2 linked regions of the Elephas maximus indicus genome follow. The protein of the gene in region 2 interacts with the protein of the main gene of each other region in a biochemical or structural test. Links are inferred from orthologs where the notes say so. Each region holds a gene or a part of one and is shown on either strand. Other genes may lie near its edges.

Evidence for each region.
Region 1: the proteins of PTCH1 (region 2) and SHH are reported together in a solved structure, tested with the Homo sapiens proteins (5 studies listed by BioGRID and IntAct, with this or other methods). The link is inferred for Elephas maximus indicus from reciprocal best matches to the Homo sapiens genes PTCH1 and SHH.

Annotation. Positions count from the first base shown.
Region 1 is NC_064838.1:5,078,409-5,093,580, forward strand, and holds the start of SHH (sonic hedgehog protein), read left to right. Parts: upstream 1-8,089; 5' UTR 8,090-8,378; coding exon 8,379-8,687; intron 8,688-14,407; coding exon 14,408-14,669; intron 14,670-15,172.
Region 2 is NC_064827.1:106,915,316-106,930,493, forward strand, and holds the start of PTCH1 (protein patched homolog 1), read right to left. Parts: upstream 7,589-15,178; 5' UTR 7,557-7,588; coding exon 7,353-7,556; intron 6,691-7,352; exon of another isoform or gene 6,418-6,690; intron 5,710-6,417; coding exon 5,517-5,709; intron 1-5,516.

The sequences.
Region 1 (15,172 bases), on a different chromosome or scaffold from region 2:
GGAAGCTCCTAACCAGTGGGAGGCCAGTCCCTGGGTGGTGCAATGGTTAGCTCACTCAGGTGCTAACCAAAATGTTGGAGGCTCAAGTCACTCAGAGGTGCCTCAGGGGAAAGGCCTGGCAATCTCCTTCCAAAAAGTCAGCCATTGGAAGTCCTGTGGAGCACATTCCTACTCCGACACATGCCAGGTGGCCACGACTGGACGGTGGAGCACATTCCTGCTCCGACACATGCCAGGTGGCCACGACTCGACGGTGGGGCACATTCCTGCTCCGACACATGCCAGGTGGCCATGACTCGACGGTGGAGCACATTCCTACTCCGACACATGCCAGGTGGCCATGACTCGACGGCACCTGGTTTTTAGTTTGGTTTTTTGCAACCAACGTGTGAAGAATTCAGATGGACACAGTATCTGGTGGGTAAGAAAAGGAATGGTGTTTGGGGTTTTTTCTAATGTTCACAGCAGGGGAGGCAGGGGAGAAAGCCTAATTCCCATTGTTCCCCACTGTAAAAAGAGACCATTGGATGAGCCCTTCATTCTTCTGAGATTAATTATAGAATTTAAGGGCTGAAAGGACTTTTGGTATCATTGACTTCAAATTCTCATTTTATAAATAAGGAAATAAAAGTTTTGAGCGGTTATGTGACTCACCCAAGAGCACGTAGCTACCTGAGAGAGAGCTGGGCCTATGGTTCTCCTTAGTCAGTAGATTTTACACTCCCCCGCTTTGCCAAAGTACCATGGAAGGGAACATCCTCAGGTAATCACTGACCCTACACAGAAGCTCAAGTCTTTCTAGAAAACCCAGCCCCAAAGGAACTTGAGAACCTGTGTTCTACCTAATTATCTTACTCATCTAGTGTTGGTATAACAGAAATACCACAAGTGGGTGGCTTTAACAAAGAGAAGTTAATACTCTGACTGTCCAGTAGGCAAGAAGTTCGAATTCAGGGTGCTGGCTCCAGGGGAAGTCTTTCTCTCTCTGTCGGCTCTGGAGGAAGGTCCTTGTCATCAGTCTTCCCTTGGTCTGGGAGCATCTCAAGTCCAAAGAACGCGCTCTGCATCTTGGTCTGGGTGCACCTCAGGTTCAAAGCACGTGCTCTGCTCCCCACCCTGCTTTCTTGGTGGTGTGAAGTCCCCACTCTGCTCACTTCCCTTCCCTTTTATCTCTTGTTTTTTTTTTTTTTTTAACATAAAAGGTGGTGCAGGCCACACCCCAGGGAAACTCCCTTTACAGTGGATCAGGGATGCGACCTTAGTAAGGGTGTTACAATCCCACCCTAATCCTCTTTAACATAAAATTACAATCACAAAATGGAGGGCAACCACACAACACTAGGAATCACGGCCCAGCCAAATTGATACACACATTTCTGAGGGACATAACTCAGTCCTTGGCAGTGATGGAGATTCAAGGCAATGATGGGTGAGCTGCAACAGGCAAATTCACGACAGGGTCTGGGACCAGAGGGATGGTGTGGACATGGAAAAGGATATCTCCAGCTACACGCGAGGGAAGACTGGATCTAGATTACTCTGATTCTTTCAGGCAAACGTATGGCACAGACTGCCAACCTGCACCTGATTAACCTAGTTAATTTTGCTCCTGTAAAGAAATAGCCTTTATTTTTCTGCATGTCAGCATTGCATCCTCTTTTTTTTTTTAAAAAAAAAGGAAATGTTTGAATGGAAGTTGCCCAGATAATGTAAGCATTCTGCTGGCTGCCAAGAAGGGTCTAGGCACCCCTCTTGAGGACTGGCAGAATGAGCCACAGAAACCAAGCTCACCCTGCAGAGGACAAAAGCAGGAAGCAGAGCAAAAATCAGCCTCCTAAGTCTTCACTTCCCAGAGAGGGCTCATTGCAAGACATGGAAAGCCGGGTATACCCTTCTCCCTAGTCCCAGAACAGCCTCCGGCCAGAGGCGAGCATCTGCAGAGACATCTCCGCATCTTACCCTGATGGCAGGCCACTTCCTGCTCCACAATCCGGCTCCGTAAGAAGCCATTCTTGTGGCGTCCCCAGTGCCCCGGCTGTGTGCCTGCACTTCTCCAGGGCTACTCCAACCCTTCAGGCACTAGGTCACACATGCACACACACACCCGCATGTCCTCCCCGACCAATACCTGCTCTCAAGGAAGAATCTGAAACTCTCACACACCTGTCAGCCCTCCCTGTGGGGAGGGCTGTGGGCGTCTCTGTGCATGTATGGCCAGGGGGCAGAGGGCTCCAGAGGCCAAAGGGCATTCCAGTAGGACCAGTGAGTGTTCTGAGGATGGGACTCCACCCGGAGAGCTGGGATCTAGTCATGGCCACTATCATGCCCAACCCTTCCACCCATGAGCTGTTGGGGTTCCTCCCATCAGGGAAGGCAACAAAGCGGAAATTCTGATTTCAGCCTTCAGGAGGGAGACCTAGGCACTGTTTGTTCTTTTGTTTGTTGATTTGTTCAGTCAGTCGGTCGGTCGGTCGGTCGGTTCGTTGGTCGTTGGTTGGTTGGTTCGTTGGTTTTTGAGCTTCTCAGGTGAGTCTAATGCACAACCAGGGTTTAGAACTATTGGTTTAATGTACGAACTTTCCCGCACCTGTATCTTAACAAGATTCAAAGATTTAAAGAATAATGGTCTTCTGGTAGACTTTCATGGCAGCCTGTAGTATAGGGAAAGCATACAAGATTTAGGATTGAAGAACTAGGTTTGGGCTCCAATTCCACCACTGACTTATTGTTGTTCTTAACTGCTGTGGAGTCAGCCCCCAACTCATGGCGACCCACACACGATAGAACAAAACACTGCCTAGTTCTGCGCCATCCCCATGATTGGTTGCAGATCAGACCATTACGATCCACAGGGCTTTCACTGGCTGATTTTCAAAAGTAGATTACCAGGTTTTTCTTCCTAGTCCATCTTAGTCTAGAAGCGCCCACTGAAACCTGTTAGCATCATAGCAACACACAGTCCCACAACTGACAGACTGGTGGTGGCGGCTGTACATGAGGTACATTGAATAGGAGTTGAACCCAGATCTTTGGCATGAAAAGCAAGAATTCTACCACTTCCCCCTGTGACTTACTTATGTGAATTCTCCATCTGCAAACTGGGTATAAGACTACCTACCCACACTGCTTCCCTTGCAGCTCATAAATGTAGCTGTGAGGTTCCTATGACAGAATGGATACAAAATCACTTTGAAACTGTAAGAAGCTATACATACCTCAGACATTATCTAGGAATAAGAACACCCATTACTTAAAATGAAGACTGAGTGATTCAGCAAAGTAGAGCAATGGTTTGAAGACAGTGAATCAGCACAAATTCACAAAGCAACATATCTCAGGCTGAATGTCCACATTACATGTATTTCTTGCCTGAGCATATCTACTTTTACAAAATACAGCTTTTGTTCCACTAGCTGGCTGTGAGTCTACAAATGTCACCAAAAATTGCAATTCACTTTCCTCTTCTGTAATCCAGATATTAATACTCGCTCTGAGGAGCCCCGGTGGCACAGACAGTGAAGCACTCAGCTGCTAACCCAAAGGTTGGCAGTTCAAACCCACCCAGCAGCTCTGCAGGAGAGACTTGGTGATCTGCTTCCGTAAAAATTACAGCCAAGCAAACCCTATGGGGCAGTTCTACCCTGTCACATGGGGTCACTATGAGTCAGAATCGACTCAACAGCACCCAACAACAGCAATACCTGCTCCATTTGTCTACCATGTGTGGAGCAAATGAGACCCTGAGTGTGAAAGTTCTCAGGAACAGGCTGTTGCTACTGCCTGCCAGGAGGCTCCATGCCATGTGGAACAGAAGCGGGCTGAAAGTCCCACTCCAGAAAGTGCACGTCGCCTCCTCAGTGTCTCCAGCCCTGGTGCATAATGGGCGCTCAACAAGTGTTTGGTGAACAGAACTGGCGAGAGCAATGCTTGCATCCATAGGGACCTCAGGATACCATCTGCACTCCCTCCTTCAGAGAAAGCGCCTCAGGAAGGCCCAGGTGGAGTGGGGCTTTGCCCAGGCTCCTGCCTCTCCTAGCAGTGCCCTCTCCTCCTCCGCACCACACTGCAGAGTAACGGTCCACAGCCAGCATCAAGCCCACACATGAAATGCCGCAGAGCGCAGCTCCTCACCCAGCCAGCAGCCAAGCTATCTTGTCTAAAGTCTTGGCTGCTGCTTCCCCAGCTGCTCCTGCTGCCATGGCCGCAGGCCTGACCTCCGCTGCAGTGAGACTGAGGACTCAGTGGTGGCAGACGAGTGGGTGGAGGACACCCAGCAGCTGCACCCGGCCCTTGCCTACTTCTAGGCTACAGTCACTGAATAGTGGCTGCCGTCCCTGGTCCTTCTGGGCCACAGAGAGCCTGGTGCTGTCCAGGACCTGGGGACTCAAGCCCTAAACCCAGAGAACATGCTCCCCCTCTCCTCCCTCCTCTCCCGGCAGGCTGAATTGGGGGATTAGGATAACAGTGCCAAAAAGCAGCATTCCTCCAAAATGCAGAGACAATCCCAGGCTGGTGATTACAAGGAGATTGTCATCACCAACAGAAATTCAATTTGACAAAATTGGAAAGAAATTGAAACTGGGTGACTGGCTGGAAAGATATTGAGTACAATCATAAGGAAAATAAATCAGAAAGGGGAGGGGAGGAGGGAAACTGGGAATGTCAGATTTGAGCCAGACCCCAGAGACTGGAAGTCCATGGAGAACTGGGAGCAACGTCACAGGGGCTTGGTTGAGGACAGGGGCTTAGTGAATACAGAAGTGGGGGGGGGGGGGTCTGCACTAAACCTGGAACCAGGTTCAAAGGAGGATGGAGAAACCGGCTAGCCCGCTTCCCGGGGCCTCCCAACCTGGTTCTGCCCGAGATTCCCAAACACACCCAAACCAGAACCCGGCACTCCAGAACTGAAGGCAGAGTGAGGAGGCCATCTAGCGGCTGGGGTCGAAATGGAGGGAAAGGTGCGGTTCCGAGGAAGGGCGCCTCCTGGGGGGCCGGAGCCTGAGACAGAGGCAGCCACCTGTCCTCACCGGCACGGCCGGGTGCAGGGCGAGGTGGACGGTAGAAGGACGGAGAGTGGGCCGGGCGGATGTGGAGGACCACCAGAAGGAGACGAGCTCGGATCAGTCAGAGATGGGTCTGCGGGAGACCCGGGACGCCTGGCCGCGACAGGCACGGGCAGACGGCTGGGGTTTGGAACCGCTGCCCGGCAGAAGGAGGGGCCGAACTGTCTGGAGGGGGAAAGGCAAAGAGAGGGAGCCATCTGGTGTCTGGAGGTGGAAGACGAGCGAGTGTCTGGTGTCTGGGAAATGGGAAGTGGGCGAGATGAAAGGAAAGGGGAAGTGGGAGGGGGAGGGAGGCGCGGAGACCGCCGCGGCCCCGGGAAGCTCGGCCGGGCGCCCAGTAATGCAGACCCTGAGTGCCTAAGACAATGCACACGGACTGCGCGTGATTTTTGTCCCTATTCCCCCTCCCCGGGCAACCCGCCGCCGGGAGCAAGCCCTCCGGAAGAAGGCGTCAGTGGCGGATTTTACAGCGATTTGTCCATCACTCTTTGAATCGGGAGGATCCAAACGAGCCCCTGAGACGGCGGCCGCTGACAGGCTCTCCGGGGTCTCCAGGGCCGGATGGAGATGGCGAGGAGGGAGGTGGCCTCGGCGCCGGCCCTCCCGGGGAGCCTCCGCCGGAGCCCGAGCGCAGTGCGCGCCGCGTCCCCTTCCTGGTCTCTGCGAAGAGGGAGGGACCGCGCCGCCGGAGTCACGCTCGGCTCTTTCCTGATCCGGGAGAGCCCGGCCGGGCCCCCAGGTCACACCGCCCACCGCGCCCCGCAGCCTGGACTCTCCAGCTCGGCTTTGGCTTTCATAACCCAAGTCCCACACCCGGCACGCTGGGGGCGTTAGACTTTTCCACGTGCGTTTACTGCCTGCACCGGACGCGCACCTCCCCAGCGTGTCTGCGCCGCAGGAGCCCTGCTGGCTGCTGGGTACACGCGCGGCCCGCAGCCCCAGAGTCTCTGGCCTCAACCCCCAGCTTCGCCGCCCGGGCGCTCCCGCCCTGTGCGGGCACCTAGGTCTTTAGGGGAGAGCGCGAAGAGCGAAAAAGAGAAGGGAAAGGAAAGGCACTGGGGCCGAAGGAGGTGCCAAGGCGGGGGAGGGTGATGAAAAGGTTTGCAAGTATCCCACACTGTCGGGATCGCTTCTTAAACCGCGGCACTATTTAGTGATATTACATCAACACGTGCTACCCGAGGTAACCACATCAAACAAGCCTACCTTCTTTGGTATACAGCGTTATATCTTTTTTTGTATCAGTTTTTTCCTGGGAGCACACAATATACAGAGAGAGGCGCGCACACACACACACACACACACACACACACACACACCCTGGACAATAAATTAAGCCCCGGGTTTATCAACAGAGTTGAATTGTCTCCGGCTAATTGGAGAACTCTTCGTTCCTGCCTGAGTCTTTCTGGATAGAACTGGGTGCTGCCTTCCCACCTTGCCCAGAGGTCAGCGCTCTTCTTAGGCTCGGTATTTTGGTTCTTCAAAAATCACAGAATAGAAAAGAGAGAGAGATGCGAGGGGGGAGGGGGGAGGGACTTGTCAACCTTTGTAGAGGAGCACGAATGGGTGGAGTGCAGCTAGATGTCGCTTAAGATGACCCCCTCAAAAAAAAAAAAAAAGATTTGGGCATAGGAACATTGATGGACTGCTAGCAACTTCCCATTGTTTTGCTGGGTGAACCTTCAGACCGTTCTCACACCACTGCGTGGTTTGGGGTCAAGGCAGAATACTGAACTGCAGAGGCCAACACTCACAGTATCTGATTATTTGTCAGGGTCAGTATTTCTAGTCCACATGAATAACACTCCCTTGCCCCACTCCAGAGGTATTCTTGCTTATGCGTGGAATGGGGGGAGGTTGAGATGGGGGTATGTTCTGCAAAAAGAGGGAGTGTCAGGTTTTATTTTTCTAGTTTAGTTAGAAAGTTGTGGGTGTGTGAGTGTGTGTTTTCTGGAAGGACTGCAGGGATTGGGGGTCTCATATTGCTGTTCTCTGGACACTAGGACACCCCTATTTGACCAGAGCCGGAGCTGCTCCAGCCACCTGCACCCCTCCAGGCTGCAGAGCCCATGATGTGGCCAGCTCCATTTAGCGCCAGCACCAGACGCCATAGCAAGGAGCCTTAACTTTACACTTCACTCATCCCTTGGCCCTGCACTTTGCTCCTATTGATCTGTGGGGGTGGTGTTTGCAAAGCCTTGCCCACTCACTGCTGCCCTCCAGGCACAATGAGCCTCCGCCCACAGCACACACAAGCACAGGCTCCCTTCCCAGAGCTGGGGGTGTCCAGCACCTGAGACCCACTTTGCCCCTGGACCTTGACAGTCCATCAGCTCACTCTGTACCTACCCTTAACACACCTCCATCCTATCTTCAGAGGTTTCAGAAACCATGCATTGATACAAACAATAAAGTGGCAGTATTTTAAAGTTTTTCTAAGGCATGTGAAGCACTTCAACTCACATTACTAAGTTGTGGTCACTCATAATTATCCTTCTTCCAAAGATGCTGAGCATTCAGGCAGAGGAGGCTCAGATGGGAGACCTGGCCTGAATGCTAAAATCCCTAACAATTTTAAATAAGACCTGGCAAGCTTTGCCCCTGAAACATTTGAGGAGATATTTGTTTGATGATCAAAGCTTTGGGGGGTCTGTGCTGTCCTTTAAAAACTTAAGTTGGTTTTAACTGAAGCACCTACCATTCCCAAGAAAGTAAAGGGGGAAACACGGATACACACAAAGCAGGGTATAATTGATGTTATCCTGAGAAATGTGCCTCGCCCTCCCTCCCACCTTTGTTTTAGTAAAGATTTTTTTTTTTTTTACTCGAAGCCTTCAGGTGAAAATAAAGCAGCAGCAGCAACAGAAAAAAAAATTGTAGCCTTTTTGAGGGTTAAACATCAGAAGACAAGCTTGTGTTGCCTTGGCCAATCAGATACGCCCCTGCCAGCTATAATATAGTACTAAAGGCAGCCTCTCTCACAAGCGTCTCTAGGCTTGCTACCATTTAAAATCAGACTCTTTTTGTCTTTTGATTGCTGTCTCGCGACCCATCTCCGATGTGTTCCGTTATCAGAGACCGGCAGCCTGCCATTCCAGCACCTGTCTGGCTGGGGATCGGTGGAGAGTCCCACGCAGCGGCGGCGGGCAAGGTTATATAGGAAGAGAAAGAGAGCGAGGGAGAGAGCAAGGCAGCAAGCGAGCCGGAGCGAGAAAGGGAGAGCGCAAGAGAGAGCGAACACGCACACGCGCGCACACACACACGCTCACACACACAGACACACACGGGAGAGCTTGGAAGTAATTGGGCTCCATGGACGAGATGCTGCTTCTGGCGAGATGTCTGGTGGTGGTCCTGGTCTCCACGCTCTTGATGTGCTCAGGGCTGGCGTGCGGACCCGGCAGGGGATTTGGGAAGAGGAGACACCCCAAAAAGCTGACCCCTTTAGCCTACAAACAGTTTATCCCCAATGTGGCCGAGAAGACCCTAGGGGCCAGTGGAAGATACGAAGGGAAGATCTCGAGAAACTCCGAGCGATTTAAGGAACTCACCCCCAATTACAACCCTGACATCATATTTAAGGATGAAGAAAACACCGGAGCGGACCGGCTGATGACTCAGGTAGAAACCCAGCTCTGGGGCGTGGAATGTGTTCCTTTAAAGCGAGCTACGTGGAACGAAGCCGTTCTAGACTTGGTTTCTTTGCTTTTTAAGCAGATTTAAAGGCGATTTCACTCTGTCCTTCCCCACCCTCCTACCTACCTGCCACCCCTTCCTCTTCCTGGAGGAATGGAGGTTATGGGTCCAGAAGTTTAGGGTATGGGCGGGGGTGAGAATGGCTGGGTATGTGATCCCATTTATGGCCCTGATTTCATCTCTGTCTTACTAGGATGGCTCTCCCCACCCTGGCTGTGCTCTGGCTTGTAACTTGGAGAGACCTTCACTTTCCGGGCGTCTGCCTTTTCCAAGTCTGTGGCTTTACTGGAGAGTCAGGAGTGGAGATGCAGAGGGGGGGTGGGAATCCCCCCCATAAACATAAAGTGGCCTCAGGTCACTGCTACAAATGTAGGCTCGAAGCGTTAGATCTCCAAGCTCATACTTTCCCCCTCTCTTCTGTGTTTTTTCTTCCCATGACTACCCCCACCCGACCACCCCCCACCAAAGAATCTTCCATTGGAAAAGCCAGGAAGGCGGTTCTGACAAAAGGCAGTGGCTTCGGAGGCGGCTCTAGCTGTCCATGACTGTGTCACATAGCTTGCCTTGCGATTCCATCGAGTGTGATTGTGCCCATCGGAGTGTGAATATATTGATATTTCTTTAAGGATGCTCTTTCATTCTCCTAAGCCCGAGGTACCTTAGGGGAGGGACTTGGAACTTACTGGCATTGCATCACTTCAGTTTTCAATCAGCTTGCATAGAAATTACGAGGGAATAAATATTAATGGGAAAGGGGTGGAAAGGAAAACCAAAGCAAAATATTAATCCTTTCCCCTCGCCCATCTCCTTTGAGACATCTGGGCTAAAAAGCTACCTGCCAATTCCAGACTTTCTGAAACTCCATGCATATGTAACTGAAGCTAGAAATGGGTTTCCTCGCAAATATAGGTCAGCATCATTTTTATTGCCCTATTAAAATATTCAAATCCTACCTTTAGGGCTAGAAGCGCACAGGCTGACGGAGCGGCGCTGGCGGGGCGCAAGTGTGGCGGGAGGGGGGGGAGGAGAGGCGGGGGGAGGCAGAGAGGAGCTACCTCGTAGCTCTTCTGCTTCCAACCCCATTCCTGGGCTTGTTGCGGGTGCGGAGAAAGGGAAGGGCCAGCTGGGGAACCAGCTCTAGCTGCCCGGTGGGGGCGAAGTGGGAGTGGAGGAGAGGATTCTCTTTCCTCGGTCTCCCTCATCTGCTCCCGACCACCTTAAATCGGGCCCAAGAGTGTGGCCGCGCGCTTGTGCCCCACAGAAGCCACGATTAACTCTGCGTGGCCCCAAGGGGGCCGGGGGCGTGCGGCCGGCTGGAGGAAGTTCTCTGGCTCTCCGGGCCTCGCCGCCCCCTGGTCCCCTTCGCCCCCCGCGAGGAGCCTTCCCGGGGGTCTTTCCGCACTCAGGGGAGGGGAGAAGAGAGAAGCGGCGGGGCGGAGACACCGGAGGGTCCCGAGTCGGGCCGGTCAGCATCTGCCTTTGTGGGTGCAAGGGACCCCCACCGAGTCCCGCGCCCCCTGCTCCGAGCTCTGGGTCCTCAGCGCCCTTCTGGGAAGCTGTAGGCCCAAGAAGCCGAGCCCCAAGTCAGACGCATTTTCAGCTCCACTTACTCCTCGGTTATCGATCTCAGAGGCTAGGGTTTCAGTTTGTGCGGCGGAGCTGGGCTCGGGCCGTCGCCGCCGCCGCCGCCGCGCAGTCCCTGCCCTGCACGCGCACACGCAGGAATCAGCTCCAGAACCGCGAGCGTGGGGCTCATCCTAATGGGGCGCTAATCACCCTCATTAACCCGGCGGCGGCGGCGGGGGTGGGGCGCGTGCGGGGAGGAGGCAGGGGTGTGGTGACGGCGCGGCCGGGCCTCCCGGGTCTCCGAGCCCCCTGGGCGCCGCAAGGAGCCCTCCATCCCGCTCCGCGCCTCCCGCCCGCCCTGCCCGGGAACACGGGGCCGCGCCCGCCCCACGCCGCGCCTCTCGCGCCGCCGCATTCGCTAGCAGCATTTGAACTTCTGACCTTCTGTCAACTTCCCTCAGACGAACGAAACGAAAACAAATACTTTTTTTTCCTTCAGCAGTGGCCATTCCCGTTCCTAACACAAAAGGAGGGGGGAAGGGTGGCCAAAGTGGGGGTGGGGTGGGGTGGGGTGGGGTGGGGTGGGGTGGGGGGGAGAGCCAGGCCAGGGTTACAGCACTGACCCCCCCCAGGTACCCTAAAAACGTGGATGGTTGGGGGTGGCGGCTGGAATGTGCCCCCTGGTTGTCCCTCCTCTGGCATTTCCCTCTTCTGCAGATTCTAGGAGTTAAAGGGGGGCGGGGACAGGAATGGGGTGAGAGAGGCAGACGTCTTGGGTCTTGTAAGGGCAGGGAACGTGTGGGCTTCAGAGGCAGGAAAGTGCCTCTCAGGCCGCGCGAAGGTCTGGAGCTTCTCGGGGAACTTGCTTGCCTGCTGGGCTCCTCACTTTTACAGAAACGCCTGGACTCTGCTCTCAGGTGTGCGTCTTGAGGGTCTCCTCCTCCGTCTAGTCTCTCTCCTTGTCTCTGGGTGTGTCTCTAGGTCTCTCTAGGTGACCGTTGCCCAAGTCCCTCAACCATGGCGAGATCTTCCCCAGTGGAACTTTCAGAGCAGTTCTGGAACGCATGAGCTCCTGGTTAATATTAACCCGAGAGAGGGGAACGCAGACAGACCACTCTCCCAGCGCAGGCCCCGGGTGCCGGCTCGCGGGGCGCGGGTGGGAAGGGGCGCTGCGAGGGGTAGGAGGCCCACCGGGGGCGGGTCTGGAGGCTGAAGTCGGGGGCTTAGCCTGAAAGGACGCGTTACTTGCATTTCCTGCCTGCTCTGCAGCCGCCGGGCAAGGCAAAGGAGCCAATGTGTGAGCTTGGGGGGGGTTTCCTTTTTCATGGATGGGGGTTCTCTGTGCGCTGGAGGGGTACAGAGAGGCGGTGTTGCCGAGCTGGATGTCTTTTTGAGGTGGAGGCCCCTCCCACGCCTAGGCACCGGGGGAAGCCCGCCCGGCTGCTCGTAGCGACTGATACTGCCGAGCGCCTCCTCGGCGCGCTCGTTTGTGTAGAGATTAGGGAGTGTGGCGGGGAGCTGAGGCGTGTGGAACAACTTTGCCTCTGCGGACACAAAGCCCGCGCCGAGGCGGCCCCGCTGGGCTTCACGGTGACTGCACAGAATCGGGCTGATTCGCGGCACATGACCCAGTGAATGAACAACCGGTCCTGGCTGCACGGCCTTTGCCTCCGACAAGCTAGCGGGCTGGAGCCAGGAGCGTCCTGCAGCCGCCAGCCGAGGCCCGCCCGGCCCTGGGGCCGGCCAGAATTCTGCCGGGATGTCAGCTGCCGACGAGGGAGCTGGGCTCCGGGACACATTCAGGCCGGCCCCTCGGCCTCGGACGGTCCCCAGCGCCGCCACCTCCACTCACCGGGCCTGGCTCGGCCAGGGGCTCCTCGCGTGGGTTCCTCCACGTCTTTTCCAAGTGGCGCATCTCAAGGGGCCTGGGAGGTGGGATTGAAGCCTCCCCGCCCCACCGTCTCCCTGCCCAGTTACCGGGTGGAACGCCGTTTAAGGCGTCATCTCCCCCCAAAGAAGGGAGCAGAAGGGAGGCTCGGGGTGTTTGTGTGCATGTCAGTGTGTGTGCGCCTGCGCGCACCCCGGCTTCATATCCAGGCTCTAAAACTGACCCTGGTCTGATTGATTTTCATGTAAAATGCGTTCAGTCCTCAAGATGACCTCACTCAAATTCTCCCCTTCTGCCTTTTTTTTTTTTTTTTTTAAGAACTAAAAGAACCAGCAGGCCCCAAATCCTGCAAGCGTTGACCTCTTACTAGGACGGCCCCAACCCTCTACCCCCTACCCATTTGTTATATGTTTAACTCTACAACCATGTTACTGCTTGCTTTTTTATTGCTGCCAAGTACACAGAACTTTTCCTGTTGAACAATCTGTGACATACCCTTTAAAAGTGGACAGCAGTCCTTTTAACAAATCCCCCCTCCCTTAGCAAAAGAGTTCCGATACACTGCTACTATTAGGGTCCTTAACAGAGGCTATTTTTCCATCAGGGAAACCAAGAGGTGTCTTAAGGAATCATCTTTTCTGTTCTTGAGGAGATGTGGGAGGTCAGTCCTACACTTTACAGAAGTCAACTTGAATGTCTCTCTCCAGCCTCTGCTTCTGTCTACCTGGCATAGGGGTGCCTCATTATTGTTTTAAACCCCCCTTTTTAGAATCCCCTACCAGCAGCCAGCAGCAGTCAACTCCAGTGAGTTTAGTACTACACACACACACACAATTTAACTAGACTTAGCACATCCTTATTTGATTCTAATCCATAAACCAGAGGATTATGGGGAAAAATACCACAACCCCAAGTCCCATTTTACCTTAGTTTTTATCAAACCTAGTCAATGTTTCTTTACTCCTGCATGTGACTTCCTTTCCTCTGTGTGTGTGTGTGTGTGTGTGTGTGTATAGGGTGGGGGAGGGCAGAAAGGCTGTTTTGAGGAAGACTCCCCCAGGTAAGGGGCTGGTGAGGCTTCAGGCCTTTCTGTGCCCTGGTCTTTCTTTCTGGTGGGGATGTTTTCCTAGCCTGCTCCCCATCCCCCACCCTCTCACACACAAAGTCCCTGGCTCGGTCCACACACTCACACACCCACCCCCTCCCTTCGCCTCTTAAGTTTGCTCTTCAAACTTGCAGGACACCATTCTACACTGGGGCCAAGAAGACAAGAGGGGAGGAAGGGAACAGGTTAAAGAAAACAAGAAACACAATCAGACCACAGAAAACCCAGGCAGAAAAGAGTTCTACAGAGAAAAAAGAATGTGGTTGTCCAGATAAAGAATGTTTGTCATCCAGGCCCTGGCCCGTATTGAAAATTATAACTCACCTGGCTGCTTTTCACTCTGGCCTTCTCCCACCCCTCCAGCTTTGCTATCAGCTTCCCACCTCCCTATCTTACCTTTGGCTTAGTTTTCACCTCAGATAGTCATGGGGGCAGAAGGGACCAGAGGGTCCAGAGATAACACCAGGCTTTTCATTCCTTAAGAAGTGTACAGTGTATTTTCCTTTATTCCGGCAACGTTGCACCACCCTAGGCCTCTCTCTGGCCTCCTTGTGAACTTCTGACTGAGGGTCCCGGTGAGGGCTTTAGCCCAGCAGCAAGGTGGAGCTTGCACAGGTGTGGAGAAATGTGTGCAGAGAAAGGGGGCTGGCAAAGCGGAAGGCACCTGGGGGAGTGGGGGCACGCCTGAAGGCACCTGGGGGGCTCCTGGGGCCATTGTCAAAATAGTTTTCTTTTTTCCAAAGAAACTTCATCTGCTTCTCAGGCCACAGGATGAGTATTAGCTATTTCTGGATCTGGAGACAGGCCCTCAGCCCATTCCCAAGAGAACCTGCTCCTCCAGGCAGCTCCCGCCCCACCTCCTCCGCCCCGTGCCTTCATTCCGAGCCGGCTGGGCCCCATTCCCGGGCCTGTCTCCCACTTCTCTGCACACCCCTTGCCTGGCCTAGGCGACTGGCAGCTTTGCTACAGGCGGGGCAGGGGTTCCCCAACGGCTAGGGAGGGCGGAGGGCAAGACCCAGGACCCCAGCTCAGGCGGCTGACGCTAACGCATCCCTGCCCGGATCTTCGCTCCCCTTCTCTCCACAGAGGTGTAAGGACAAACTGAACGCCTTAGCCATCTCGGTCATGAACCAGTGGCCAGGAGTGAAGCTGCGCGTGACCGAGGGCTGGGACGAGGACGGCCATCACTCGGAGGAGTCGCTGCACTACGAGGGCCGCGCGGTGGACATCACCACGTCGGACCGCGACCGCAGCAAGTACGGCATGCTGGCCCGCCTGGCCGTAGAGGCCGGCTTCGACTGGGTCTACTACGAGTCCAAGGCGCACATCCACTGCTCGGTGAAAGCAGGTAGAGCGGCGGCGGAAGTCGCCTTTCTGCATATTCCCCCTCCCCCTACCGACCACGCCCCCCCCCCCCGCGTCTGGCCCTCAGGACTGTCAGCTGTGGGCCCCCCGACGGCAGAGATCCCAGGGAAAAAGGCTAATAGTGGTGTATATATGTGGGAGGGGGGAGGCCTCAGGGACAGGGAGGCAGAGGAATTGGGGTGATGCCTAGAGTGTTGCTGTTGTGAGATCATACCCCTGAGGGGCCCCCCTAAGCCAAGAATTGCCCCCCATCTTTGGGGATTACTCGGAGGCCAAGATTCTCGACGCCCCGATGCAGAGGGGATTTGGCTTTCTTAGCCCCACCCCACCGGTTTCCGGAGCCCTCCCTGCAGATGGCGGAGACTGGGAAGAAAGAGTGGCTTGGAGGGGGAGGAAAGGGAGACTAGGACGTGGCTGGGAGAGAGCCCAGCTCTGCAGCCTTGCCGGTTTCCTGAGGTCTGGCCTAGATCCTTCCTCTCTTTTTAG
Region 2 (15,178 bases):
GCAGGGTGTTAGTGGCATCTAGTGGGTAGAGGCTAGGAATGCTGCTAAACATCCTACGATGCCTAGAACAGCTTCCCCCCCCCCCACACAAAACAAGGAATTATCCAGCCCCAAACAGCAAGTGTGCTAAAGTTGAGGACACGCTGCTCTAAACGAAAAGGATGGCGAAACTCAATTATCTCCTAGGAATGCCTGGGTTCAAACCAGGACCACTGAAGTCGTAGTATCAGCAAGGTACAAGCTTGAGAGAACTTAGAGACACCAAGAATGCATTTAAAAAATAAACACACTTCTATTTCTCTTTTTTAAAAAATCAACTTCTGTCCTCCTCCCTTGATGCTGGCCTTGTGAGACGTTAATGACCAAACACAAAGGCGAGATGGGTTCATTTCAGGGCTGTTGCCTTTTTTCAGAAAAGGAGGGCAGGGGCTGGGCCAGCTTTTAGAAAAAACCAAAAAGCTCAAAGAGATAAATAAATGAACATTCTGTCACGGGAGAATCTGGACAACAAACTTGTGTCTGAGAAAAGGTTGGAGTGGGGTAAGTATGAAGGGAAATAGGTATTAAGGGAGATAGGAGAATAAAAGTGCTGAACAAAAAGGAAATGCCAGCAGAGAAATGGGCAAGGTTAAAAATAAAGCATTTCTCTTCTCTGCCCAGCAGAACGAGACTCAGATGAAAGCACCTGAGGTACCAGGGAGGCCACCAACTAAAACTCACTGCCACTGAGTTGATTCCAACTCATAGAAACCCTATATGACAGAGTAGAACTGTCCCACAGGGTTTCCAAGGCTGTGATCTTTACAGATGCAGACTGCCACATCTGTCTCCCAAGGAAGGGCAGTGGCAAACCTGGTGACCCAACCAAAGGAACCCACGGCAAGGCTTCCGGAGGCCACGCCCCTGTTCTCTGAGCCTCTGCCCATGCTGTTCCTTCTACCTGGAATGCAGCCCCACCCACCTCTCCAGTCTCTGTGCTTCCTCCTTCCAGGACATCCTGGAAGGCTTCCCTGCCATCTTTGCACTGCTGCACTGCATTCTAGCTGGTCTGTGTATGCCTCTGGATGGGGGTTCCTTGAGGGTAGGGATTGCGGCTTTTCACCAACAACTCTCTGGAACTCTGGCACTCAGAATAGGTGACCAAGGAATGTTTTCTTCTGAAATGAAAATCAGTCTCTCCCCCACCTTGCTGCCACCACCATGTATTTAATTAGTAGCAGATGTCCTGATACACTACATCATTCCCCATATTCTCTTACCAAGCCTCAATGACTCCATTCACAAATCAGCTCCATTTGGCATTTTCCACTTGCAAATATTATCACCCTAAAACCCCAGCTGGCACCCATCGTGTACTGACAACTCCTTAAAAGGCAATAATCATATAAATATTTTAACAACAGAATCAAAGAATTCTTATCACCAGTTACATAAAAAATATGTTCAGAGAGTCTTTCTTATGTAGCTCGTTTGGTCTGCACACTGTGGCTAATGTATTCAAAGGTCTTTATATAAAGTCCCATTCCCCAGGATGTTAAGCAAAGTGGGGAAGTCCAAGATATAGTCCAATAAGTGAATCCCTTTTATTTGCTGACTGTATTCAAAAGATAACACCATTTTGGCTGCTAGGAGCATATGTACAGTAAGCCTATGTGTACACATATGCACAATGGCAACTGGGTATTTTAATGTCATTTTTTTTAATCACAGGAGAACTAGCATTTTCCCAAACTGCCCCTCAGCATCTCTCTCCCCTTAAACTTACTCTTTCTATCTCCGGTTGCTTTTTAACTAGGGAAATATGCAATCCTTATTCATTTGCTTTATTTGTATAGTAAGCACCCTTGTTCATGCCCAAAATGTTCATAGTATTTAAGAAAACACCGTCTAACAGACTTCTTTGCTGACAGTGACGAGGACATTATCTAAGGGATTGAAGCACAAAATTACCTACATTTGGAGCTGCTGCTTCATTTTAATCCATTGACCTCTACTGTAATCTCTACAACAGCAGGGAATTCTTGCTCCTGAAAATAAGTACTCACACTTCTTACTGTTGACACAATGTTCGCTATCAGAAACAAGGCCTCTGCATAGCTAATTCCATTTCAAAATCATGTTTAAATTATAAAATAGTATGATGGCCTCCTTGGTGAGGTTTACTTGGATTTATGAAAGTGTTGCTTCTATAGAAGAATCTAGCATTGAATGAATGAATGATAGCTAAATCGAGGTCAAGGGAAAAGGGGGCCAAGTGACTTAAGTCATTAATTAATAGGCAAAGTGGACAAGGACAGAGAAATAGATAAGCCATAGCTTCTCATTTATAAAACGGGACATTTTAAATATTCAAACAAACAAAAAAACCCAAACCCATTGTCATCGAGTTGATTCCAACTCATAGTGACCCCATAGGGTTTCCAAGGAGTTGCTGGTAGATTCAAACCGCTGATCTTTTTGTTAGCAGCCAAGCTCTTAACCACTGTGCCACCAGAGCTATTATTAGTGCATATAAAAAACGTTATACAAACTACTGTGTTAGAAAAAAAATAAAGATAACAATAGCTACTTCACTGACTGGTAAGTGATAATGTATAATAAATGCCAAGGACGTGGCACTTGCTCAACAAGTGGTACTGTTAATATTCATTAAATCATATTCGATCCAAGAACCAGTGCACCACAAGGAAAGTGCCAACGAAGAAATGAGAAAATGCCAGCTCAGAGGCCACAGTAGGCAGAGTGCGGCTCTGTCTCAGGTGTGTTCCACATCCTGTCTCACTGAAGAAAAATTCTGCTGCCCCCCCCCACCCCCCCAAACTCACTCTCACTAAGCCAGCTGGAGCACCACAAGACAGTGTAGCATGTTTCTCTTCCTCCCAGGAGCAAAATGAGTTGTGTAATGCAGAAACAGTTGTTTCTAAAATATGCAAGGTTATGAAAATAAATCACATTACCTCTGTTTAAAAGAAAGTCTACCGAAAATTCTTGCTCAGAACAACAAAACCATCTTTTCTCATCAGCATCTACACCTGACAAGGACCAGTTGGCCCAAGTGGCGGAAAGCGCACATATGGCCAACCAGGAAGCTCCCTCTGCTCATACCCTGCTCTGTTCTAAAGCCCATGGGAGCTTTAGACATCTAGCCAATCACACTGTGTCCAGACGACAGCCCTGCTGTCCAGGCCCCACCTGAGCTCCTAGCCCTATTCCCACTCCACGTGGGGCCTCAGGCTGCCGGCCTGCTCTGAAAACAGAGTCCCTGCTGGTGCCCCTGCCTAGAACAAGTGCCTTCCTCTTCTTTCTCCCCAGGTCTCCCCAATTTGCCTTACCACCTCCAGGAATTTTTTTAAACTATTTTTTTTCTTTCTCATTTCACTGTAACAGCCCATTTCAACAGTGAATTCAAATTTAGTGCAAATCCATTCAACTCTAGTAGTTTTAAGGGCATGAATTATCCACACTCTCTTCCACTAGCCGCTCCTGCCCCTCACCCCTGGGCTGGGAGTGTCTCACACACTTCAGAGTCCCTTACAGGGCCTACTAACATAGTGCTAGGGGCATCACAAGTGCTCAGCAAACTTGTTGCTAAGGGCATTAAAAAAAAAAAAAAAAAAAGTTGCTGTTGATTTTGACTCATGTGTTAACAGAGTCAAAGTGCTCCACAGAGTTTTTGCCTTGGGTATAATCTTTAGGGAAGCAGTCTGCCAAGCCTTTCTTCTCATGAGCTGCTGGGTGGGTTGGAATTGCCAAGCTTTAGGTTAGCAGCCAATCACAAACTGCTTGCACCACCCAGGGACCTAAGTGATACTATAAAAAACCAAAACCAAAGCCACTGAGGTCAGGTCGTTTCGGACTCATATCAACCCTATAGGACAGAGTAGAACTGCCCCATAGAGTTTCCAAGGAGCGCCTGGTGGATTCAAACTACCAACTTCTTGGTTAGCAGCCATGGCACTTAACCACTACACCACCAGGGTTTCCAGTGATACTATTAAGTGCTCAATAAAACTCTTTTTTTTAAATCTACCAATGACATTGACAGGCTGAACTGAGGTAAATTATCCCACGAATTCAATTCAAAGAACACTCTTGTATTTATTATCAGGCTACTTAAGGCAGGAATGTTTTCTGGTCTTAATTATTTGGGCTACTATTTTAATTGTCCCTTCTCAATTAAAGACTCTGTCATTGGTTCGCAGAACACTGCAATGAAGCTTTATAAACAAACCAAGATTAACAAAACATTCTCCAAGGTTAGGCCCCAATTGCACCTTGAAATAAGTAACTTTAGCAATTATGCGTATAGTTCTTCAGCTTCCCAATTCTCTTAGGTAGCTTTCACTAGCCATGTCCCAGATATTTTGGTTAGAAATAGCTACATAATTACCCCAATCCTGTCCTCCCACCCTCTTAAGAGATGACTGAAGCAGTATTTAGGGGTTAAAATGTTTCCAAGCAAGACTAGTTACTTTCCAAAAAGATAATTAAGAAACAGCCAACTTAAAAAAAAAAAAAAAAAAAAGCTGTATTACTAAAGAAATGTAAAATGTTTCCATCTTCAGGACAAAAAAAAATCTAAGTTTACAACTGTTTATAAAAGCGGGGGCTCAAAAAACCCCAAATTATGGAATGTGGATAAAAGACTGGCAGAACCCCTTGGACAACTCCCGTGGCCCCTCCCTCCAAACACGCATCCTTAAAACACATTTCTTCTTTCTGCCCGTAAAACGCAGACTTCCCCCAGAATAATTCCATTAAAAAACCCCCACCCTCAAGGAAGCATTAATCCACTTTGCAAACATGCGTTCCAGTCTGTGCTTTACTATTTTTTTCCAACTCCTTCTCCCCCCCCCCCTTTTTTTTTGTATCTTGAGACAAATGTTTTTTTCCCCCAGAGTTGAAAGCTGTCCAAAAACAGGACCACACACGCGGCCGCCTCCGCAGGCCCGCGCTCCGCCCGCCCCTCCGCCCTCCCCCGCGCGGCGGCCGCGGCCGCCGGGGGCGCGCACACTCCCTCCTGCCGGAGGGGTGGCCTTCCCTCCTCCCCGCAACTCCTTTCTCTTTAGACGCGGTGGGTGGGGGTAGGGGAGGGAAGGAAGCCGAGGAGGGGAGCCAAGGCCGGAGAGTCCTTCCTCTAGCCGCGTCTCGGGGCGCTGCAGAGCCGAGCCTGGGCGGCTGCAGGCCCCCCGGGCGCGCCGAGTGGTCCGTCCCGCGGAGGGGCCCCGCGCCCCCGCCAGCCCGCCCTCGCCACTCTCTCCCACAACACCTAGCAAAGCGCAGCGCCCCGAGTAGATTACAGCGCGGGCTTTGTCGGGCGGGCCTGGCTCCCTGCCAGGAGCCCAAACAATAAACAATTCCCCCTGGTGTGGGCAGGGGGGTTTCTCTCCTTACTGAAAGGCTCTAGGTGTATTCGGGTAAATATCTTTATCAATTGAAAGCAGGGGAAGGGGAACGGGGTGGGGGTGGGGGAGTGGAGGAAAACAGGGCGCAGCAGCCAGCGCTGGGTCTCTTACCTTCCACCCACAGCTCCTCCACGTTGGTCTCGAGATTAGCTGCCTTTAATCCTACAGCAAAGGCCCCAAATATGAGGAGGCCCACAACCAAAAACTTGCCGCAGTTTTTTTGAATGTAACAACCCAGTTTAAATAAGAGTCTCTGAAACTTCGCTCTCAGCCACAGCGGCGCTTTCCGGCCAGTAGCCTTACCCTGGGGACGAAGCAGAAGGAAGGAGTGAGTGCAGGGGAGGCGCGGCACACGCACCCACACCCACCCGCTCGCGGGCTCCCGCCGGAGGAGCCCCCGTCAGCCCCAGGGTGCTGCAGCCCGGTTCTGGGTGGCTGCAGGTCGGGGACTCTCCCTCGGGGCTGGAACCCATCCGGTCCGCAAGCGGCGTGGGGCGGGGGGCGGGGGCTGATCATAAATCAAAGTCGGCCTGCACCGTGGGAGTGCATCGCGGCAACAGGCGGGCCGCCCCACGCACGTCCAGCGCAGCACCCCTGAGTGGCTTGAGGCGCTGGGGGAGGGGCTGCAAGGACAAGGGCAAAGACGAGGTAAGAGGAGAGAAATCACTCAACACTGGCAATATTTGCCAGGGACTTGGTAAGGGATGGGGTGCGTAATCTCTGCGGGTAGAGCCCAACATTTAAGAAAGAGCAAACCAAATTCCCCTTCGCCGTAAATCCTGCTATATCCTTCACCTGAGGGTGCCCTGGCGGGGACCGGTGCTAGGGGGCGAGCGCGCTTTGGGAACAATGTATTGTGGGTTTCCCTATCCGGACCCCGCCCGGCGTGGTAGTAAATGGGGATCCACGTGGTGAGCGCGGTCGCGGAAGCTCACTCGCGATGTATTTCCAGAGCGTTGGGGGACGCTGTGTGAGCTGAATTAGGAAGCGGGGGCAGCCATCTGCAACTTACGACAATATTTGTGATCGGAAGAGGGCAGCCACATAGATCTTTCCCTCCTCTCCCTTCCCTTCTGGTTAAACGTAAAAAACACCCGAATGCGTCGGGGAAGGGCCCAGGCCGGTGCAGGCGGGGGTCCCGGCTGGGCGCTGGTTGCTCCTGGCGGCGGCGTTTACCCGGCGCTGGCCGCGGCCCTAGCGGGCCCCCGTCTGGGTGTTCGCCTTCCCCGGATTCCACACATTTCAGCGAGCCTCGTAAACACAATGAACCCGGCCGCACCACGGATTTAAGGTGGCAATTTGTTTACAACTTTCCCTTTTCCCCCAGGCTCTGAGGATAGGCGGTTCAAAACCGTAAAAGAAATGAGGGTATGCCCTCGCCCGAAGATAATTTTTAAGGGAGCAGAAATTTCAGGCTCAACAAAAGCAAAACTGGCTGCCAAAAAAGGAAACCACCTTTATTTCGGTTCCCTCCCCCCCTCCTCTCTCCGCCTCCCTCCACTCCGCCTCCCCCTCCAAGATGTTAAGAAATGTGGCAGCATTATCCGGGTTTAAGCTGCAAATAGGGGCAAAGAGTGCAGGAGGAGGGGGCTCCGTGGCAGGGGGTACGGGGGCAGGGCAGTGTCGTGGACGCCCTCGAGGTGGTCCACTGGGGACCGCTTTCTAGGGCTCCAGAAAGGAAAGCCAGGGAGGGCGCGTGCACACACACACACACACACACACACACACACACACACACAGACACACACACACACCTCCACCCCCTGCGGACCTCAGACAGCCCTTTCCTCCCAGGACCGGAGGGAGGGTTTGAATTTTTCAATCCCCACTTGTCTACTTTTCCTGGAGGGGTGTGTGTGTGTGTGTGTGTGTGTGGCGGGGCTATCCCAAAGAGGAAGAGGAGGGAAGAGTGTGGGAGGAGAGGCGAGGAGAGAGTCTGAAATGCACCTTGGAAATCTGCTCCAGAGCGAAGGCGGCGTCGCAGTAGCTGGGCCGGTGCAGATAGTCCAGGTCCGGCGCCGCGGGGCGGCGCAACCCTGCGGTCCGTCTGCGCCTCCCGCCGCCACCGCCAGCCGGCCGCCCCACGGCCCCGCTGCAGCCGCTGCCGCCGCCGCGGTCCTGGGGCTCCGCGGCGTTACCAGCCGAAGCCATGTTGCCGCCGCCGCCGCCGCCGCCGCCGCTGCCGCGGGGACCGAGGCTTCCCCGGCGGCCCGGCGCGCTGCTGCCGCCGCTGCGGACTCTCGGAGCGCCCGGGCGCTCGGCTCGCGAGGACGCTGCTGGCCGCGGGCTGCTCCGGCTCGGGCTCGGGCTCTGGCTGACAGATCTGTTGCTGCTGCTGCTGCTGCTCACACGGCGGGCGCTGCTGCCGCTGCTGCCGCTGCCGGGGAGTCAGACCCTGCGCCTTCCATTGCCACATTGCGCGGGGGTCCCGAGGTCTCTGCGGCCGCCGCTGCCCACATCCAGTTCCCGGGAGGGCGAGAGCCGGCGCGCGGGGCGAGCCTGTCCCTTCGGCGCTCCCTCGGCGGTTCCTCGCGACCCTCAAGTCCCCCTACCCGCCCCCCGCCCCGCGCTCCGACCCCTTCACTGCAGAAAGCGCGAGCAAATCCCCGCCGCTCCTGCCGGCCGCTCTGGCTCCCTCGGCGTCTCCCCGGTCGCCCGAGTTGCAGCACAGGGCAAGCGCAGAGCCGCCGCTGCGGGGTCCGAGGGTGCCCGGCGGGACTCAGCGCTGCCTGGCCGGGACAGCCGCCGTCGCCGCCGCCGCCTCTGCTGCTGCTCCGGCGGTCGCTGGGGCTGCTGCTGGCGGTGGCGGCTCCTGAAGCTGCTGCTGGGGCTCTGGCTGCTGGGTTCGCGGTGGCTGCTTGGTCCCGGACTCTGCTTTCTTGTACTCCTCACCGACCCGCTGGACCATTCTGCCCCCGTGCAGCGCGCCGCTCTCGCTCCCGGGACCTGGGGACTCCGCTCTGTGTGTGTGCAGCGGGCAGCGGCCGCAGCAGCTCCTTGATTCAATAGATGAGATGGAAGAAGAAAAAAAAGAACTCTCTCCATTTGGAGAAAGAGGAGGAGGAGGGGAGGGGGTGGAGGGGGAGAGAGCGAGCGAAAGAGAAAAAGGCTGGAGCTCCCGCCCCCGGGGCTGTCAGATGGCTTGGGTTTCTGCGACGCGATTGGCTCGCGGAGGGCAGAAATTACTCAGCAAACATGACTATTATTAGCTGCTTAGCAACAGCTCACCAAAGTAGAGAGACCACCCAGGTAGGCAACCCCAGTGTGTGCATCCCCGGCTTCGGGGGGAGCCTCCAAGAGCGCCAACCCTCTCGCATGCAATACTTCCATTAAGGAATGCTCCCCCCCCCTTTCTTTCTTATTCCTTTCCTTTTTAACAGTGTCTTCTTTTTGTGAGACGCCTTTTGCGCGCACAGACCCACACACACGCACACACACGAGCGTTTACTTCTCGATAGACACGTAAAAAATGTAATTTTTTTTTTTAAGCGCTTAAACAATTTCTGAAATTCCTCAAAGAAAACCCTTTCAGAGGCACCTTGGCCTCAAGCTGCAGCAAATACTGGGAGGTCCGGCTTGAATTCCCAGGCCTGCACCAATAATGACAGGGTGGTGGATAGTGCGCCAGTGTGTGCCAGATTTTTTTTTTTTTCTCCTCTCTTTTCTTTTCTAACTAAAGGGAAGAGTTAGGCTCTCGCAGGGAACAACGCCTCGCATTAAGATAAACAAAATGGAAAGTTAAAGAGGAAAGCAAGGGCGTCGGGAAAAGCCACCCCTTTTTAAAGTTCGCCCCCCCAACCTTCTCCCCCCCCCCAAAAAAACGACCGCACAACCAGTATGAAGGAGTCAGTGTTCTTTCTATAAACGCAGAATCCAGACACCGAAGCAGACTCGTGAAGGCAGAGGCGTTTTTATTTGAATCTTAGATGTGACACAAGTAAAAGAGAAACGACATAATCCTTTTAACAGCCCGGAGTAACAGACTTGTTCCTTGAGAAAAAGTTTTCCAGCTTATTTTTTTTTTCCTTTGAACGTCTCCCTTTTTTATTAACCACATATCCTTATTTATTTAAAGTCAGTTTTAACTTTTTTTTTTTTTTTTTACAAAAACCGGTACGCATCCTGTTATATTTAATAGCAGCGTGACGTAGGGAGGAATACTTTGATGTTGGATTCTTTCGAAACAAACTGTGCTGATCCTAAGGACTTGTCCCAACACTGCGGCCAGGGTTGCCAAGACATCCCGAGGATTCGCTTCCCCTTGGGGAAGAAAACCCGGGACCCTTTGGGGTGGATCCTGGGGCCCGAGACAAATTATACTGTCTATACAGCTGTGCTTTTTGGTTAAAAAAAACTGTGGAGAGTGGAATTTGCTTTTCTTACGTTTGCAAGTTAAGTTCCTCCCTGCAGTAGAGACCAGACTCACAAACCCTCGATTCTGCCTCATTTTTTTTAATATTTATATTTTTTCTAAAGCGGGGTTGAACTGCAAAAGGACCCGCGGCAGCGAAGAGCCGACTGAGGCCATGACATGGGGCGATGTAGCTTTAAGATGCACACGGTGTGTGTTCATTGAAAAAAAAAGAAGAAAGGAAAAAAAGAAACCCAGATGGAGGGAAAGGGGGAGGAGCGGGGCGAAGGCGGAGTCTCCGCGGCCACGTGATCCTGGGCCGGGCTAGGCGCGATCCGCGGCCAGGAGGCCTGTGCGCGCGCGCGCGCGTGTCCGGGTGCGTCCGGGTACGCGCGCGCCCGGGCTCCTGGGTTACCCACGTCCGCGCGGCCAGGCCAAGCAGGTAGGAAGAGAGGTTGGAAGGCAGAGCGCACCCGCCGGCTCCGTGCCACTAGTCGGCTCCCCCCGGGTCCTAGGCCAGGCGTACTCATCGCCGGCGCGGACGGACGTGCCGGACGCGCCGTAGTACATTCCTGAAGGCGGTCCGGCCCCCTTACGTTGCCCAATGTCCGCGCGGCCTCTCCGCAGCTGACCAATGTCTGCGCGCACGGGTCCCTTCCCATTCACCACCCCGCGTCGGTGGTGCAGGCCAGCGCCGTGCTGCGGCGGACGCTCGGGCCATCGGGGCAGTTCTTGCTGGGGGCTCGCCCGCCAACCCTCCCCGCCCCCTTTCTTCCTCTCCTCCCCCAGCCTGCGGTTCCCTCCTCCCCGCTTCCTTCCCTTTCCCCTTTCCCTTCATCCTTCCTCTCTGGCCCCTTTCTCTACCTCCCCCATCTTTCTCCTCCTTTCCTAGCCTCGCCACCTTCCCTAGAGCGTTTACTCCTTCCTGGTTTCAGTTGGGAGGCCCTGCCCCCTGAATCCCAAACCAGCAACATGTATGTAGTACCCCGGGAGTGGTAGGGTGTCCTGGAGAATAAGGAGAGACAAAGAGAATAGAAGTGTCTGGGGGTGTTTACGGGATCAGGAGGAGGACCCGAGTACCGGGCCAGCGCGGAGATTCAAAACTCCTAATTCGAAAGGAGCACGTGATTTGATGCGCCGGCTCTGGGAAGGGCTGCAAAAACCCAGAAGGGAAGACAATCACCGTGCAATTACAATTACACTACATTAGTAAATAGCATCACAGTAAGACTGGGCTCGACGCATAGCCAGTTTATTCTTTCAGCAAATCCTGATCCTTATTACGTTTGATAATAGCATAAAGCAGGAAGGGTGACTTCTGATTCTAGCTTTTCTTAATTGAAAGACTCTGCAAACATCTCCAGTCAGGCCATTTCCTGCTTGCTGTTGGAGATAGCTTTTTAGAGACTTGGGGGATGACACCCCTAATTTTAAATGTCAGCCTTTTTATATTTGAGGCTAGCTGTATGGCTAAGGTAACCATATAGTCATAGACACGTTGCTATATTTCTCTTTTCAAATTTCTTTACAACATTTTAGACCAAAATACAAGTTTTTCCTCCCAATCTTTTATATGTTAGAATTTCAGTATAGCTACTCGGATTATGGAGTTCGAGAATGAAATTACAGGCTATGTACCAATAATGGCTATGTATTCATCTACACTGGCAGCTGCCCTGTAAAAAAAAAAAAAACTCTCCTGTAGCACCATTTTAGTGGTAAAGCGTCTTCCACTCGGGCTCATTTCCCTCAGTTTGACTTAATTCCTAAACGTTCTGAAGATTGATCCTCAAGGTTTTCAGTGCCCCTCGCCCCCTTGCCTGCTGTTGGTTAGGCTAACTTTTCAGCATCTCAGACAATGGTCCGGGCCTGTAAATTCTACCCATTGGTTCCAGAGCTCAATTCCAAGCCTTGGCTCTAACAAGCGCTATCTTAATCTCCCCAGCCCCCACCGCCGCTTCCCCTGTGGTCTGCTTTTTTCATACACAGAGATGAATTACTTTGAGGATCTAATTGGCCTTGTTTCTGTAACGTTTTAAGAAAGGGAAGAGGAGATAGTGTAAAAGCCTGCTCGACTTGGGTGGCCAGAGCTGAGGCTGCCCCCAATTTGCCTCATTGCTGATGCATGCGAGTGTGACATTCCCAGCGATAATGTTGCCCCTAATCAATCTGCCCTTATTTACATTTGTAAGCATTGTTGGCTTTAATATGCATGCCCTGTGCAGGGGACCGCTGCACCACACCGGGCTTGTCAACTTCAACGAACCACAAGGATTCCATAGACCTGATATGGGGCTCTTCGGAGAAGCCAGGCCTGCTAAGGTGTCTGCTGGGAAGAAAGTTCTCTTTAATGGCTTTTCTGGGTTTAGCTCTTCTTATAAGTTACCAAATAAGTGAGAGCTTGAGGCCCGATCAGCCATCAGGAGTTGCTAGTCTCTATGACACAACTGATTTTTCCCATTTCCCCTTTCCTATTAAAGTTGTATGGATCGTCTTTTTTTTTTTTTTTTTCCTTCTCTTTCTGCCATGATCCAAGTCTTCATTGCAGCCTGTCATTTTCAAAATAGATTCCTTCAATTCTCTGGCTTCCCTTCTTTGTTCCAATACTTCAAATACCCATGGCCACACTACACACATCTCTAAAATGACATCTGATTATCCAGATGATAAGATGACATTGAAATAAAACATCTGCCCTTTGTGTTTGGATGTTCCAATGATAAGCGCTTGTGGGATCCAGACTTGGTGAGGTTTGGAAAAATCACAGGGAGATTTCACTTTTCACTGGCTTTGCAGACCAGACTAAATGAGTCTTTAAGATCCAATGTAATTTAGCTAATTTTTGCAGTGTGTAAATGCATAAAGAGGTAAATGTATTCTAGTAATTTGACCCTTGGGCCATGTTATAATTGTGTCTACTGAGTTTAATACTCTCTTCCAGAAATGCAAACCATTGCAAACATTACATCGAGTCTCACAGAATTCCTGTTGAGAGGGTGGATGCAGAGAAGAACTGGGGAATTGATGTAATATTCTATTTATGAATGGGGAGTCCAGGGTAGGGTACAGGATGTGAGTGATGGGCCAGGGCCTGAGCAGTTCAAAACAGATACCTTGGGTAAGAGTCGAGTCTTAACTCAAGCCAGTATGCCACCATCCACCACACTTTCTTGGCGCCCTAAGAATGCCTTATTATTTTCTCACTGGCAGCTTTTGTATTTACCTAAAAGGTGATAGTAGAAAATGAGTCTTACAGGTTTCAGGGGGGAGGAAAAAACAGATTCAGCAGCCACAATATAAAACCACTGGGCTTGACTCCCCTCCCCTTCTCCATTCCTCCTCTGTCTCCTCCCCTTAGCCCCCCTCCCCAGGACTGGAGTAAAGGGAACAGCTCAAGCCAACTTGTCAAAATAATGCTGCTAATTATTCCTGATCTCCTTTAATGGGAAGCTGCTCCCAACTCCACAAAGGAGTAAATGAGAGCACTGGCATTTTTGGAGTTTACAGTGAGCTTGGGGTGGGGGTGGGGGGATGTCCTGAGAAGGTCCCAGACATCTCCACATTTATTACTCTGGGTTCAAACACTAGCTTGAAAGAGGAATTAGACTTTATACAGTCCCAAAAGCTATGGGTACTCTCCTGCAGGGCAGAGGGAATATTCACAGCCTACAAGGAACTGGAAAGAAAACATAGCATTGGCCCTTGGATTGATTTTTCCCCTTTATCTAAATATCTGCTTAGCCACACTACTTAACTCTAATGGATAGAAATGTGTTCTGTAAAGACTCAGACTCTGAAGATTTTTTTCCTCCATCTCTTTCTCGCCTTTTCTCTATCTCCCCGTCTAATAGATCCCTATCAAGCTTTGCATTTGGCAGAAGGCATATCATTCATTTCAGTGATCTCTGCCATTGGGTCTTGCATGAAAAAGAAGCTGAGTAACATGATCCCTTTGACCCACTGCTGGAGCAACAAATTTATTAGAGATATAGGCATAAGAAATGAAAGGGAAGTAAAACAATTCCAGCTTATTGTGTGTCTTTCTTTCATACTGCTAATCCGGTTTACACATCACGCCTACATGTCTCAATAGGGCTTTATACACTGTGGCAGAGGCGGGAGAAAATAAAAGGTGTGTGTGTGTGAGAGAGAGAGAGAGAAGGATAAAAACTGGAAAGACAGATATTTTAATCCATACTGATATCCCTCACCAGTTTTTCTATCTGTAGAAAGTTGAGGACAATTTGTAAAACAGCCTTTTTTCTTTTCATAAAATAATTCCATTTGATGCTAACTCCTGTTCAATAGCTTGTCAGATTATGACTAGATTATAACCAGAAATTAGATACATCTCTCACTGTGAGTTTGAAATGAAGCTAATACCCCAAATTGAGAATGGGCATATTAGAGGACAGGCCTATTGGTATCCACCTTGATCCAACATTTTAATTTAAAAAGACCATAGACTCAAAGGCTTTTACAGCCCTGTTGTGGAAGGAAGCTGGGTGACAATTGGAACACCCACAAACTCACAGCTGAAAGCCCCTTGTTTTACAACATGAGTACACAATGCACCTGAGGCAAGCAATTTATCCTGCGGTGCCACCCAGAAACAATAAGTTACAGTAACAATGGATGACACCAAAAAGCATTGTCTTTCTTTGTGGAGGCAATTAATTGCATGTTGAACTACTGGAGCCAAAACAATAATAATAATAATAATTTTTTTTCCGAGCACACACAGAATGATGAAAAAAGGACTATTGTAGCGGTAAGACCTCGGTTACCCAATTATATATTTAGAGCCACCATTGTGGGTCTTTATTATTTGTGTCTAGTTCTTTTCTATTTCTCCTCCCCAGGGAGGAAGGAAGGATGAAAAGGGAGGAAGACAGAGGTCTCCGGTGTCTTTTACAGACAACAATCCATACGGTTCTTCTTTGGTGATGGGAAGAAGTTAAGATGAAAACACTTTGAATTTATTGCTTATCCACACACTAGGTGTCATTTTTCACATGAATTTAAAAGCGTGGAGACATGGCCTATATCACCCAGAGGTTCAGTCTGTGGGGCATCCTGGGGGACTTGGAACCTTGTCTCTAGGATTTAAAACACTTGGGCTCTGCTGAGGTCGCACTCACAGCCCCCTGAGCACTGGGTCAACCACTCACCTCTTCAATGGGTGGTAGGCATGAGAATGCCCGAATCCGTGGGTGCAAAAGTCACCGGATACATCTCCACCACCCCGGCGCCTTCCTGAACTCAGAAAGCCCCACGGGCACTTTTTTCCCACCATCGGTGTGGGCGAGGATACTAGACCTCTGGGTTTGGTGAGGTGGTTCTCCTAGCACTGGGTATCCCACCCAACCGAGCGTCCGGGCCCGGGCTACGAAAGCGCTGTGTGTGGATGCGAGAGGCGTGC